Linked DNA regions of Daphnia pulex. The protein of the gene in region 1 purifies or fractionates together with the protein of each later gene. This does not show direct contact. Links are inferred from orthologs where the notes say so. Each region holds a gene or a part of one and is shown on either strand. Other genes may lie near its edges. The genes, in order: SUMO-conjugating enzyme UBC9-B and GTP-binding nuclear protein Ran.

Evidence for each region.
Region 2: the proteins of SUMO-conjugating enzyme UBC9-B (region 1) and GTP-binding nuclear protein Ran purify together in Homo sapiens (affinity purification with mass spectrometry; 3 studies listed by BioGRID and IntAct, counting the BioPlex papers as one, with this or other methods). This does not show direct contact. The link is inferred for Daphnia pulex from reciprocal best matches to the Homo sapiens genes UBE2I and RAN.

Annotation. Positions count from the first base shown.
Region 1 is NC_060018.1:632,225-635,625, forward strand, and holds SUMO-conjugating enzyme UBC9-B, read left to right. Parts: upstream 1-1,670; 5' UTR 1,671-1,823; exon of another isoform or gene 1,824-1,917; 5' UTR 1,918-1,926; coding exon 1,927-1,992; intron 1,993-2,067; coding exon 2,068-2,151; intron 2,152-2,264; coding exon 2,265-2,382; intron 2,383-2,444; coding exon 2,445-2,589; intron 2,590-2,659; coding exon 2,660-2,738; 3' UTR 2,739-2,898; downstream 2,899-3,401. Other genes in the region: glyceraldehyde-3-phosphate dehydrogenase 2-like, read left to right, coding at 1-157; receptor-type guanylate cyclase Gyc76C-like, read right to left, coding at 3,338-3,401. UniProt on the Homo sapiens protein: Accepts the ubiquitin-like proteins SUMO1, SUMO2, SUMO3, SUMO4 and SUMO1P1/SUMO5 from the UBLE1A-UBLE1B E1 complex and catalyzes their covalent attachment to other proteins with the help of an E3 ligase such as RANBP2, CBX4 and ZNF451.
Region 2 is NC_060020.1:1,358,784-1,362,247, forward strand, and holds GTP-binding nuclear protein Ran, read left to right. Parts: upstream 1-1,292; 5' UTR 1,293-1,445; exon of another isoform or gene 1,446-1,502; intron 1,503-1,630; exon of another isoform or gene 1,631-1,728; intron 1,729-1,859; 5' UTR 1,860-1,872; coding exon 1,873-2,115; intron 2,116-2,173; coding exon 2,174-2,362; intron 2,363-2,421; coding exon 2,422-2,637; 3' UTR 2,638-2,774; downstream 2,775-3,464. Other genes in the region: uncharacterized protein LOC124192239, read left to right, coding at 1-461; NFATC2-interacting protein-like, read right to left, coding at 2,860-3,134, 3,288-3,432. UniProt on the Homo sapiens protein: GTPase involved in nucleocytoplasmic transport, participating both to the import and the export from the nucleus of proteins and RNAs. Switches between a cytoplasmic GDP- and a nuclear GTP-bound state by nucleotide exchange and GTP hydrolysis.

The DNA.
Region 1 (3,401 bases):
AGACTTCATTGGTGACAACCACTCTTCCATCTTCGATGCTGCTGCAGGCATTGCTCTCAACAAAACTTTCGTCAAGCTGATTTCATGGTACGACAACGAATTTGGTTATTCGTGCCGTGTCGTCGATTTGATCAAGTACATGCAATCCAAGGATTAAATCAATAAAGCTGCATTGTGGGATGAGTCACTGGCATACGTCTTACAGCAGAATAATCCGTTACTTATTCTGTTAATGTTGTCTAATTATCTATCCCTCATTCTTGCTACCGCACTGGCTACAACGATTGATGTTTGTTGTTGGTCGTCCTTTCTGTAGTCTGAAATCCCAATCTTAGATGTCTGTTACATTGGCTACAGGAATATAAACGTTTGTCACAAAATTTACATTTCAATTTTTTATTATCAGCTCATTTTAAATCAACATTTTGATCTTTAATTTATTGATAAAATATCATTATCATAAAGAAATTTACTTTCCACATACCTGCTCACTTTGGTGACAGTAATCTCCTTTCATGCAACGCCATATATTTGCATTCAAACGTGCGAATATGTGAAGGGAACACGAAGCTTTCAAGACGCGATTCCCCAGTACTCATTGGTTACGCCTAATAATAAAATTATAGTTAGTAATCTGAAATAAAACATTTACAATTATGCTCTATAATATGATTGACATTTCTCTGTAACAGCCAATACTGACGAGGAGTTATATTCAAAAGATTTTTTTAGATATGGACATTATTCTATTACTTGACAGTTAACTTTCTCAGAAGCATCTTCCTGAGCCCTTCAGGAGTCATTTGTTATTCAGTGCAATGGTAAAAATAAAGACAGACTCACAACAATATTACATAGCACACTACGTTTCCAAGCAAGAAATTAGTTTAAAAACTGGCACATGTAATAATCTTTGAACTATACAAAATAGTGATTCAAGCACTATTGTTTTGTGAAATCACCAATACATCATATCTAATGAGTATTTAACAGGATATTTTCCGCTTTGAGATACCCAAGTATGTTTCATTCCCTTCCACTTTGGCACTAACACATTCAACCCTTCTATGCGAGAAGTACCTAGCTGAAACAACCATAATAGGGAATAACAGATCTTCATTTAATAAATTTAGAGTTTGTGACCTAATATGACAAATTAACTGATGTTTTCATACCTTTCTGAACATTCTATATCAATTTTGTAGTTTCCCCATCCACAAAGTTAAACTGAACTGAGGCTTTAGGATTAGAGATTATATCATTCTTAATTCATTCGAGACATGGTTGTTTGCACCTTTTTTCGTTTTGTCTTCGTGTGATACCTTTGTGGTTTGTCACTAGTTGATTCACGTGTTCGAATATTCTGGAAGCATTACGTAAACGACGCTTGGCTTGTCTCGAATGTTGAACGATCAAAGCTACATGAGATGGAAGATATCAATGATTTTTTTTAACACTTGATTTTTCAATTTGGAATTTAAACAAAATACAAGAACTTAAGATGCATGCCTGTGTGACTCACTGCTCTGTTGTTTTTTGAACCATCTGGGCGCCATCTTTCATAGGCAGTGGCAGCATAGCCAGTTCATTTTTAATTTTAGTTGATGAAAACTAAAACTAAAAATGCTTATGCATGCTACAGCCAAAATGGTTTGATTTCATTGAAATCCATATTTTACATGCAAATGTTTCATCATTTATTCGTTTAAATCCCCAAATTAAATTTTAAATTGATTTGTAATTATTCGAATTACCTTAAGGCAACCCTGGCAATAATTGTACGAAACTACACAGCTAAATTATTTGGCAGCCGTTGAAAAAAGGTAACTATTATTTATTTAAGAGCTGTTGCATCTTGCTTTCTTCAGTCATATTCACACTTTCTTATTACATCACACTGAAATTTTTATTCTCTAGTGACCAATAATGTCCGGTATTGCTATTGCTCGACTTTCTGAGGAACGTAAAGGCTGGAGGAAAGACCATCCCTTTGTAAGTTGCTGGTTTGCCAAACGATAGTTGTTGGGTTGTGTGTGTTTGATTTGTGTATCTTTGCGTTGCCTTTAGGGTTTTGTTGCCAGGCCCACAAAGAATCCTGATGGAACCCTCAATTTGATGAACTGGGAATGTGCTATTCCAGGCAAGAAATCGGTAATGAGTTTTACACTTAAAGATCTTACTTCACATTGGTGTCAGATATACTTACCAAATTCACTGTTGTTTGAAGTAACAATATTAAGTGTAACTTGTGCATACATTTACAGACTCCCTGGGAAAATGGATTGTACAAAATCCGTATGATTTTTAAAGATGACTACCCCTCTTCTCCTCCAAAATGCAAATTTGAGCCCCCACTTTTCCATCCAAACGTCTATCCATCAGGTTGAATCAAATGGCTATTTGAGTGTTTTGTTTTAGCTAACCTTTTGGCATTTAATATCCAGGCACAGTTTGTCTATCATTGTTGGATGAAGAAAAGGACTGGAGACCTGCAATTACCATCAAACAGATTTTGCTTGGAATTCAAGATCTCCTAAATGACCCCAATATTAAGGATCCGGCTCAGGCAGAAGCTTATACTATCTACTGGTAATGATTTTTACACCAGTAGACAACTTGAAAGTTTGGATTGTAATATTTCATTTGATTATTTCTCCAGTCAAAATCGAATGGAGTACGAAAAACGTGTTAGAGCACAAGCCAAGGCTATGGCTGCCACCACTGATTTGCTGTCTTAATTTCCCAAGTAAATCCAGCTGTCAAGGAATAAGTTAACTTCTTTTTCTTTTCCACGTGCTCTATTTGTTTTTTAAAAATTCTTATTGTCTTCATTTCAATACTTACTTATCGTCCAGAAAACATACTCCGATCTGAAATAAAACGCTAAGTAAGGTGTAACACTTGTTGACCTTTTTTTTTTTCAATTACGTCACTTGACTATTTTATTTGGTTGTGACCTACTTTGTTGATATGCGTTTTATCTGGCGAATATCTGATTATGAAGACCAAACTTCTTTTAACTACTAGAATTCATCAAAGGCTCTCTTACCTGATTAAAATTTGAACTAAATGGGTTATCGATGTACAAAGTGCAAAACAAGGTATGTAAAACAACAACCGATTTATCACAATATTTTCAGCAGCGACAATATTACAGATACACTAAAATCAAAGAAAACATTCCGACTTGAAATCGATTAAAAATCTTAACCGAGAAGAATCGGAGATCGGGTATGGCATTTTCAAATGGCGAAATATACGAATCACGAAACAAGTAAAGCAAATTTGTCATCATGTAAAAAGACTGTGGAGGATGCAAGAATAAGGAGGCGCAATTTCACACAACGCTTTCTCTGTCATCACGGTGGAGGTCGGAAAAGTCCTCTCCCGTCTGCGGATTC
Region 2 (3,464 bases), on another chromosome or scaffold:
AAGTTGAATTACTTCAACACAATTCGCCGGTTTGGTTGGTGAAATCTGAATTCGAGGAATCCAGTGTCATTGATCCCGACGAGATTCGACTGCTTCCCTTCGCACCTTCACATTTGGAATCACCACAAGAAGCTACTACAAAAGTCCCATTGAGTCGTCCTTCTACATCTTCGGTACCAAAGTCAAAAGTTGACATAGACGTGGATGAAGAAGGTAATTTATTCGCCACCATTCGTCTGATTGCCCCATCGCCTTCCATCACATCAAACAAACTTAAGGCATCAAAGAATGTTAACTGCAAAAACAAGAGGACTAGTAATCACTTTGGGCACTCTGGAAAAAATCCATCATCAAGGTTAAGCACAAAAAAAGAAACAAGAGCCAAAAAAGAGGACCCATTTTCTGTCAAGAGTCTGATGGCAAAGTTCATTGAAGCTGCAAAAAATAAAAAAATCTCCTAACTTTGATAACTATATATGATAAAACTTGGAGTTCCATGTTTATTTCAGATTATTTTAGTTTATTTTTATGTGTGCATGATTAGTTCGCCAATGTGGAATGTGATGACTACTGAAACCCCCTATCCCCATATTCCCCTTTGTCTTGCGTTTTTTGTTTGGATCCTCGTTCAAGTAGTCAGTTTCGCGTTGAGTTACAAACGAACCGGTATCGCATCAAAATGTTCGTCATAGCTTTATCTCCCAAGATTTTATACACTGTGATGAAACCTTCCGAAAATTATTTTGTAATAGTTCATTGATATTTTGTTTGTAAAACAAAACTCGCCATTATTTTTTGTAACCCAGAAATTCATCGTATCAATAAATACAGATGCTTGTATGAATGATCGCCTCCGTTGTTATTTTTCTTCGAACGGTTGATTTTATAACATACAATGAAATAATGACTAACAAAAAAAACAGCAATCATAACTTTGACAGAAATATTCATCATGCTGCTACCACGTCTTTTAATGTCCTATTAATTAATTTATATACAGTGATGCTTATAGGAATTTCTTTCTTCTTTTAAAAGGTAATTTCATTTGAATTAAGTGCTACTATCCTTTTTATTAACACATTTAGCATTTTAATCTCACACAAAATAAATATATTGTTGATTAAAAAATTAAAAAACATCATCCCGTTAATAGGCCTGAATGAAATTCAACATTAATAAATTACATTCAAAGCTTTAGACAGGCTTTAGAGAAATAGAGAGCTACAGCCCTGCTACAGCCTACTTTCCATTTTCAAATTCCAACCGTCTTTTTTTCAAAGAAAAGGAAAATATTCCCGCCGTTTCTCCTAGTGAAATTTGGCAACATCTCGCTAGGAATTTTTTAGAGCCACCCATTTTCAGCCAGCCTTTACGCTACCAGAATTTTTAGAGACCAGTTTGGTATTAGAACCGCGCGATTGTGAACCTAAAGCTTAAAACCGCCGGTGAGTTAGATTTATCTTCGAATATTGTCCACATCCTTCATCTTTTCGTTGTTTTAAGTAAGCAGTAATGTTTCTTTTGCCAATCTCTTTTTAATTCGGCATGGAAAGTATTTTAGTCATCATAGTTATTTTATTCTGCATTTTTCAAGTTGTAACCTCTAACAGTCATCTTCCTCCATCAAAGACAACGCACTAAGCTAGTCAGTGGCGGTAAAACTGTTCTGTGGTAGTTGTTTGAAATAGTCCCTTTTTTCTCTTGACATTAAACATTGACAGTTAACTTGTAAGTGTTCACGAGTGTGTAAATTTTTAGAAAAATATATTTTGTTGTCGTTAGATTAAGTTCCAGTAAATTCTTGTTGAATGACGCAATCAAGTCTGATCGATTCACTTATCTTTTCTCATTATTTGTAGGATTTACAACAGAATGGCTGCCGAACCTGACATGCCCACTTTCAAGCTGGTCTTGGTTGGCGATGGTGGTACCGGAAAAACCACTTTCGTTAAGCGTCACTTGACTGGTGAATTTGAAAAGAAGTATGTGGCCACACTTGGTGTGGAAGTTCACCCTTTGGTTTTCCATACAAACCGTGGAGCCATCAGATTCAACGTGTGGGACACTGCTGGTCAGGAGAAGTTTGGAGGTCTCAGAGATGGATATTACATTCAGGTAAATGTCAGCATACTTGTATTCACATGGTCTCGACTGACTTTCATTTATCTTGCAGGGCCAATGTGCTATCATCATGTTTGATGTAACCTCTCGTGTCACCTACAAAAATGTTCCAAATTGGCACAGAGATTTGGTCCGAGTTTGTGAAAACATCCCAATTGTTCTTTGTGGCAACAAAGTTGACATTAAAGATCGTAAAGTCAAGGCCAAATCCATTGTCTTTCACAGAAAGAAGAATCTCCAGGTATGTTAATTGTGCTACTAAATTGTAAATGCAATTTGCTAAATTTTGGTTTCATTTAGTACTATGACATTAGTGCCAAGTCAAACTACAACTTTGAAAAGCCTTTCCTCTGGCTAGCACGTAAGCTAATTGGAGACCCTAACCTAGAGTTTGTTGCTATGCCTGCTCTGCAGCCACCTGAGGTGCAGATGGATCCTAATTGGCAGAAGCAAATTGAAGGTGAATTGGAGGAAGCTCAACACATTGCACTACCAGAAGATGATGAAGACTTGTAACATCAACATATTAGGATTTAAGCCACTACACCCTCCCACAAATTTTTCCATCTGTGTTTTCTGCCTTCTATCTTAACCAATTTTTATTTGCGAGGTATGAAAATACATTGTGCGTCATAATACAAAAGTCTTTCGAATTTTTGTTTATTAGTGCATAATTTATTTGCGCAAGGGAAAATATACAAAGTAGTAAAGTTAAGAAAAATGTAGTGAACAAATAAACTACTCTCTAATGAAAACATCGATACACTCGCCACCTTCAAATTCCAGACTAGACGGTGTGTCATCTTCTTCCAACATTTCGCCGTCAAATTTAAACTTCAATTTGGACAAATCAATCCCGGTTGCTTCCGCATACTTCTGCATCAAAACTGCCATAGGGTCTTCGGGGCGCATTGATATAACCACTTGTGCATTCCGGTTCTGACTCTGAACCTTTAACTCCAACAATGTTTCGTTGGAGCTGACGACAACTCCTTCTTTGCAGACTGAAGCATCTGTTAAAAAAAAGCACTGTTACAACGTTCGCTAATACCAAACCCAATCGTCCAAAGTTTTTACATTGGAAAACCAATTGACTTCATGCCAGGGTTGCTAAAACCGATTTATGACGCTGAAATGGACTGTAATTTGAATGACAAGTAACATACCAATGATGTCTGATATCCCAAGTGGCACTGTTTTGAGACTGTCATAGTCATTCAGTAGTTGATCATTGAAATATAGAATTATTTGTCCAGCATCCACATCAGTGATCTCTGATAATTTCTGGCAGATGGTTTTGAAATAATCAGCCTGAATAATAGTAATAATAGTAAAAATGTAGT